2 linked regions of the Xenopus tropicalis genome follow. The protein of the gene in region 2 interacts with the protein of the main gene of each other region in a pairwise test. Links are inferred from orthologs where the notes say so. Each region holds a gene or a part of one and is shown on either strand. Other genes may lie near its edges.

What was found.
Region 1: the proteins of agtrap (region 2) and syt16 interact in binary tests that used the Homo sapiens proteins (3 or more experiments, as listed by UniProt). The link is inferred for Xenopus tropicalis from reciprocal best matches to the Homo sapiens genes AGTRAP and SYT16.

What each region holds. Positions count from the first base shown.
Region 1 is NC_030684.2:101,926,128-101,930,570, forward strand, and holds the start of syt16 (synaptotagmin-16), read right to left. Parts: upstream 3,118-4,443; 5' UTR 2,820-3,117; coding exon of another isoform or gene 2,807-2,819; intron 1-2,806. UniProt on the Homo sapiens protein: May be involved in the trafficking and exocytosis of secretory vesicles in non-neuronal tissues. Is Ca(2+)-independent.
Region 2 is NC_030683.2:65,689,074-65,692,898, forward strand, and holds part of agtrap (type-1 angiotensin II receptor-associated protein-like), read left to right. Parts: intron 1-1,402; coding exon 1,403-1,437; intron 1,438-2,164; coding exon 2,165-2,276; intron 2,277-2,349; coding exon 2,350-2,566; intron 2,567-3,825. UniProt on the Homo sapiens protein: Appears to be a negative regulator of type-1 angiotensin II receptor-mediated signaling by regulating receptor internalization as well as mechanism of receptor desensitization such as phosphorylation.

The sequences.
Region 1 (4,443 bases), on a different chromosome or scaffold from region 2:
TCGCACTGTTCCTGACACACTTGGCCACAGTAATGTTCATGTTATTTGAAAAAACACAAATCAACATGCACTCACCATGCTGCCAACAACTCTCCAGGGACTTGCATTTACAGCTCACTGCTGGCTATGGAGGTATTAAAGTCCAAAGAAGCCGAGCAAGCATAATAAAATCAATTTAAATGCATATCGTTCAAACAACTGCTCCGCTACAGTACATCTTAAAGATCTAATCACCCATCCTCATACTATTCAAGCCAGTGAGCAGCCAAACCTTAATGCATTAAGCCCAAAGGCAAACTATGAATGTTTGAATGTTGGGTATCTAAACCCACTATGCACTGTATTTCCATGTCAGATCATGGACAGCCATGCTTGCTGGCACCTGTAGTCAGTTGTTAATTACATAGGCTTACTCCATGTTTTTTTATTGAGAATTACACAGAAAAATATACACACAAATACTTACCATTTACCTGATAATGTTTTCTCTGCTTCCTGATGCGCTTATCAGACTGTGTCAGTGCCTAGCTCTCTCTCTCTATAGATGTCAGAGCAGATCTATGTAGGATTTTAGACACACAGGCAAGTTCATGTGATGCTATACCCACAGAATGAGGAACAAATAAGCTAGTGTGTATGGGCAATGCTACAGTCAGAGGTCATAAATCAGCCCTGCCCTACTCTGCCTAAATATTCTGAAAAACAGTTGGAGGAAAATCCATGTCAGGACTAATTAAATCTGTGATATTAATTAAAAGGCTGCTGTCTTTATGTGTCCACACAATGATTTGCTGAATAACAGAACTGCATAAAAATAAACAAAGTTGAACACATAAAGCTCTCATTTCCAGAAGGGCTGGGAAAAGATGAAAATCCTTTTTCATATTCAGCTGGGAGACATCTTTTTATCATTAACCACTTGTGCAAAGTCATTATGATGCTTGTGACTGGGCTAAGTGATGTATTCACTGCTGGGTCTTTAATAATGAATCATGCTTGTAATGCAATAACACATTAACTGGAGCTCAGTGGACCAACTGACAGTTTGGAACTGTTAACAAAGTTCAAAACAAAAACAGAATAAATGCCTAGGTTTACAATCATTGGAATAAGGATAGTAAAAAGGAAGTAGTGCTAGGAACATTGAAAAGATGTGATTGGTTATATAAATATATACTTTTTTAATTTTCCAAAAATGGTAGTATAAGTATGGAATCCATTATCTGTAAATCCATTATTCAGACGTTTTTGATTTATGGGAAGGCTATCTCCCATATACTCCATTTTAATAAAATAATTCAAAATTGTAAAACATAATTCCTTTTTCTCTGTAATAATAAAACAGTACCTTGTACTTGATCCCAACCAAGATATAATTAATCCTTATTGGAGGCAAAAACAATCCTATTGTATTTATTAATGTTGAAATGATTATTTAGTAGACAAGGTATGGAGACCACTTATTTGAAAAAACACCAGGTCCCTAGCATTGTGGATTACAGGTCCTATACCTGTACTTGGAATCAAGTTATATACTAAAGACATTAATATAGAATTTCTGCAGATTGTTCAATACAGCCTTTAATAGAAGAAACTTGGTCAGAAGTAGTTTTGGAGAGAAGAATCCCTAAAGAGACAGGTCTTGAAAGAACTCCTTGAGCCAGAAAAAAAGTCTACAGTTGGCCATGCATATACTGATAAAATAGACTGATATCTATGTGCTATGGATATTGGTCAGTTCACTAATAAAGCAGGTTTGAAAATTCCATCTTAGCAAGTGCTCAGCAGATACAGAAGCTGCAGCTTTTATTCACTTTTTGCTGTTTTTAATGTTGTCCCAAATAAATGGACCAACAGAAAGCTGGCAACACCATGGCTCGTAGGCCTAATGCCTAGATATTATATGGGTATAGTATGTATATGGCCTTAAGGAACTAATCTGACAGCCTTTGGTTTTACTGCAGTCAGATGAAGTGTTTATAAAGTAATTAAATGCAAGTGCATGAATCAGAACAGTAGCAATCTGATTGTCCAATTAATACAAAGCTGTGGAATGCTGCAACTTTGGTGTGGCCAGCCCATTCAGATCATGCCTGAACACTCTGGACTTGCACCCAACTTTGTGAGAAGTTAGCAGACTGGGAGTGTCACTGCTCCAATAAAAACACTTGCATCTTATAGACACCCCAAAAAATATGCAGTCAATTGAGTTACAATTCTAACTCTAAAGGTGATCCTCAAAAGACACTGCAACAGTAGGGGTCGATGAAAAAGAGCTTGCCAATTAAAGATCCAGCTGGAATTCTAGACCTGTCTTTTGCCCAAACACAACACAACAGGCTGGGCTCTAGGATTGCTTCTGTGTTTCTACTTCTACGTTGCCAACCATATCTCAGATTCCACTGCAAGATTCCTACTTGCTGCAACAACACAAGGGGATTTACAGAGCACTACAAAAGGAAAACCCTTCTGCAGCAAACCGACAAGACAACTGCAATGGAACTAGAGGACTAGTTACAGGTCTGCAACAAAGCATAAACATACAGAGCGACGTTCACCTTTTTATATCATTGTGCATAATGCAACATAATGTGTTTTTGAATAGTACTTAACACACTATGTAGAATGCCCGCTTTCCAGCAGAAACTTTAGCCTTCAAGCTGTATTACATAACTCTCACACCTTCCCCTTCTACTCTCCCTGCATTCTGTAATACAAGGCCAAGCTATCAGTCTCCTTGAGCTTGAATGTAAACAAACAAACAGCAACAATATATTCCTTTGACACCCCCTCCCCAAACACTTACTGTCTGTGGCCATGATTCCAATCAGCCCACTTAGCTGCTCCGTTCTCTTACTGCAGGGCGCAGACTTCGGTATGGCATGTTACATCAGTAGCAGGGGTTAACCGACAGTGCTGTGATGTGCAGAGGCTGCAGCTTCCATTCAGACAATGCTTGGGGCTCACAGTAACTGCTGCAGCTGCTACTCTGTTTATGTCGACCATCAACACAACTGAGCTCTCCTCAGATTCTCCTCCCAGATGTCAGCAACTACACAATAACATCAGCAGCATCCCTCAGCTCAGGTGAGGCACTGAGTATCAGCAGCCATGGGGAGTTGCTTACTGTGCTTCCCTGAGATGCTCAGAGCAGAGCAATCAACAGCAGATTCACTGAGGCATGGAATGCAGTGGGGGGACATGGAGAGCAAGCTTTCCAGTTCTGTGTTCACATAGGATTTCATATATAATTCTATGGGGAAAACAAGTAATATATGTAAGTTGTCCTTCAGCAGACTGCACCATGCATTCTCTATACAGCATTGGAAAAATTATAAATACTATGGAAATATTTTTTAAAATATACTGTAATAGTGCAATCTGTAATATGAACAAATACCATTTTTACATGCTGAAATCCAACTGCAAAACAGTTCTCTTTTTGCATTATTTGAAATCCTTGCAGGGGAGAAGGGACTAAAACATCTCCACAGCTTACAGCATGCAGAAACTATGTAACCAACAGTGCATTCCCACAAGGAAGGCTGAGGACAGTCAACTACTGTTACATTTTTACATTCTTCATTTTCAGGTCCTCGCCTGGTGGCTGCTAGGGTAATTATGTCCTGGCAACTGCATCACAGTTGAAATTGGAAGCCTGAAAGAGGTGCAACAAAAACTGTGAAAGTCTCAAAAACATTTATTATTATTAGTAGTATTTGTAACATATGTACAAAGCTCAACCATAATCCACAACCCTGTATGAGAAGGGTGTATACATCGAACATACAAAAACAAAGATATGGGAGGTAAACTGGGACCTGTTATCCAGATTGCTTGGGACATTGGGTCTTCCATATGTGACAAAAAGGTTTGTCTTGGTGAGAAGTGTCTGTTGGATGGCAGATATATAACACCCAGGCTGAGGTACTGGCTCCTTTAAATCTCCAGGGCAGGAGAGGCTAGGACCCTGAAGTATGGCTAGAGAATGTTGGAGCCAATTAGGGAATGTTGGAGCCAATTAGGGAATGTTGGAGCCAATTGGGGAATGCTGGAGCCAATTAGGCAACACCTGAAGCATTTAAGGTGAGCCTGGGTGTGCAGCAAGGAGTCAGTTTTTCTGAGAGAAAGAGTTTGAGGTTGATCCTTGTCTGAGTGAAGGTCACTCTCAGAGCAGGGCACAGGGCAGGAGTGCTGCCTGTGTTAGGAACTCCCAGAGGAGCTGGGGGTGCCTCCTGCCACTGCGAAGGAACAGAGGGAGTCGCGACCAGATGGTTGAGTGCTGAGAGGACTCGGCAAGGCTTAATGTGAAGCCTGACTGTTACAGAGTGTGGAACTAACCCAGGAAGGTGACATATCTTGATCAGAATAAGGTCTTGCGATTTGTTTTTAATTCAATCCAATTTGAACAGATTCAGCAATTAAGTATGTTTATATTTATTC
Region 2 (3,825 bases):
ACCACCCCTCCCGCTTGCCTGCTGCTTCCTCCGGCTGCTTAGGTTGCAGTATGTGGGGGAGGATGTGGGGGAGCTGAAGTATGTGGGGGAGGATGTTGGGGGGAGCTGAAGTATGTGGGGGAGCTGAAGTATGTGGGGGAGCTGAAGTATGTGGGGGAGGATGTTGGGGGGAGATGAAGTATGTGGGGGAGCTAAAGTATGTGGGGAAGGATGTTGGGGGAGCTGGAGCATGTTGGGGAGGACGCTAGGGGGAGCTGGATGATGTTGGGGAGGACGAGCTTTAGGACGCTGCGGGGGGGAGATTGAGGATATTTTAACTGCAAAAGTTGGGGGTCGTCTTGTACGCCGGAAAATACGGTAATTGTTTTTTAAATTGGATTTTTAATAATCATTCACTTCACGCAAGAATCATCAAGTTCTAGTAAATACAGATTAAATACATTGTTGTCTTTTACTATATACAGTAGAACCCCCATTTTACATGTTTCAATGTACCAGAAAAAATTTATATTTATACTAGTGCCTACCCTTCCCTTCCACAATATGGTGGGCAGGACAGGTGCGGTTATATAAATAATAATAGTGCTTCCAGATTTGGTTAGTTTTGGGCTAGGAGAGAGTTAGTATGAGTCAAGCATGGATTTGCACACTATATAGTTGCTATTGAGATTGAGATTTTTTCCTGGTACAGTTTTGCAGCAAAATTTGTTAGTGTGCGATGTATCCACCCCTCGCCATTTGTGTTTACTTCTTACTTGCACATTTGGGGGCAGCTCCATAATTAATGGAAAGTTAAAAGGGTGTTTTGGTCAACCTGATTTGGAATTTCTGTCCTAAGCAACTGGGACAGGAAGAGGGGGTGGGGCTTCACACTATACCAGGAAGAAGAGGAAAAGAGCTGGAGATTTCAATTTATAAGTCAGAAACCAGATAAGACTGAATGTAGGGACTAAGCTATATTATTCTGGGGGTTGTTTAGAGTAATTTTAAAGAAAGAAAAAAAGGTTTATTTATTTAAATTTCCTTTGTTTTATTATTGCTGCAGTTGTCTGCTAATTTATCTTTTCTACTCCAGTCATGCCCCTACAACTATCCAGTGACCATTGTCCATCATCATTCATCATCATGCTGCACCTGTATATGTATTATAATAATGACTAGTGGTTAGCAATTAGATGCTATTGGTATTGCTAACAGTCTAGCAGTCCTTTTGTTTTCACAAAATGGTTTAGCAGATGGTTTATACATACATAGGAATTTTTTGTACCACCCTATGTATTGTTATTTAGGACAAAAATAAAAACACAAAAACTATTTCCATGCAATAATTATTCATGAAATACCATCTTTAAATAATTATGCATGGAGGAGTATATTTATGTTTTATTTCCTCTTTCTACAGGCAATTGTCTTCACACACTGGCTGCTGACAGTATTGTAAGTATTATACACTGTTGCCGAGTAACCTTGCATATTGCATGCTTTGCTATAGAACAGTACATAGGGGAAGTAACCATGAAGGTTACTTATCTGTGTCGGCAACTTATAGGTGTATATTTTAGCCTCTGCGCAGTTTGTATGCCCCCCTCAGCTTGCAAACAATAATTTTAAATTGACTTGGTGCATAATTCATTAATACAATGAGGCAGTAAGTACAATGGGGCAGTAAGTACAATGAGGCAGATTCAAAATAAAACCTAGGAATGCAAAGAAATTGAGACATAAAATTAGCTATAGACTGGTGTCTGGTGTCTGGTGTGACTTTAATATTATCAAAACTCGCAGAACACAGGGGCTGCTATTCCCTGTATTAACTATGCACAGCAGTTTAATGTGTTTATGCTATAATACTCTGTTGTAAACTAATAATAGATACTAAATAATATTAATAAATATTAGATGTAAGACCTTACCTGTAAAGTCAGCCATTCACATGCTGATCCCATACACTAACCAATGGACTAATCCTGAGATCCCCATACTTTTTGTATTTGTCTCACAGTTTGCAAACCATTGGGTTAATACATACAGAAACCGAATCTGTTTTTAAAATGTATTCGACTTAATGGAAAGATTTTTTTTAGCAGTAAATAATGTTCTATAAATGATTTCTAAACTGAAATCTAAATAATGCAATAATATGCATGTTTCCTTTGTCTTGCAGTGCATGCATGATTGATTGGCTTCCTAAAGCCTATGGTTTGGCAAACATAACAATCCTGGCAATGGGAGTTTGGGCAATTGCACAGAGGGATTCTATTGATGCAATTTTTATGGTAGGAAAGCATATTCCTCTGAATTTTGCTGATTATGTGTTTCAGACAGACAACTGGATGTTTTCTCTTTCAGTTTCTCATTGGGCTGTTGCTGACTATTTTGACTGATATCCTTCTTTTTGCACTGTACTTTACTGAAGCAGAGAAAGCATCAGAATCAGGACCTCTTCGAGATTTGTTTCGCTTTAGTTCAGGCATGGGCATTTTCAGCCTGCTTCTGAAACCTTTGTCTTGCTTCTTCATGTATCACATGTATCGTGAGCGAGGGGGAGAGTACTTTGTCAATCTAGGTAAGTGAGAGCTAATGTTGCTTTCTTATAGTTACAGTCAATGAGTCATTTATAATAGGTGTCCTTCAGTGACCGTACAAATGCATTGTGTCCTCTGAAAGAGGAGTGTCTATTTCTCCTTACTTTAGACATGTTGGGGATGCCTGAATAAACTCTAGTTACATTTTAGTGAAATATTAATGCATTAAGTGTATTGAATGATTGATAGTGAGACAGGTCAGGTAAAGTTATGTTTGAAGTACATTCTTGACCTTTGCTGTATGCAAAACTTCATTATAGTAAGGTTTTAAGAATAATTGACCAATTAGATTGTCCATAACAATGTTTACATTACATTACATTTTAAGGGGTAACTATTGCAACGATGAAAATTTAATATAAGCTTCATCTTACTGAAATAAAAAAAATTCTATATTTAATCAATTATAAATTCTGTGCCGTTATTAAAATAATAAAGCTTATCTTGACTATCCACTTTTCACCATCTGTCTCTTTTTATACAGGAGTTAGGTGTCAGATTTTCTTTGGCAGTTATATATATCTTTAAGGGGGCTGCCTTTCCTAGCAGATGTGTTAGAGCTAGCTCAAATAACTTATTTCAGCGAAACAAAATCTAATAAAATAATTGACTTAGCCCATGACTAAGTGCATTTGGGCAAAAAGGCATAGCGCCATTGGAGGTGCTTACTTTTTAATTCAACTTTAATAAAGAGGATTTTTATTTTTGTGTCCCCGTGGGTTTCTGTTGCCCCAGGTTGTAAAATCACTGTTTCAGTCCACCTTTTGAAGATATGGGGTCACTTTCTGCTTCTGAGTATGACATTGTCTTCCACACCTTGGCTGCTGAGGTTTCCTGGAACAATGGTGCATATTACTTTGAGGAATTGGTGTCCTATTTGATCTGTATTGACTCCAGAATGAAAGAGAGACAATTGCAAAAGCCTTGCAGTTGCAAGTATCTTCCTATCTCTATTTCAGCTCCTGATTTGTCACCCTCCCAAACTGATGATCCCATGCAGTTTGGTGCCACTCTTCTAACTCCTGAGAAGAAAACTTGCAGAAGAACAACTGATCTGTAGTTATAACTGAAATCTTTCTTAAGGTTTCGCCTGAAAAAATGCCTATAGACTCTAATGGCCACAAAAAATAGTTGCGCAGGATGGAAAAAGTCGCCACAAAAAAGTTGAATTGTACGGAATTTTGCAAATTTTTTGGCAAAACAGGACACATTTGCTCATCACTACTGGTCTATGTATGTA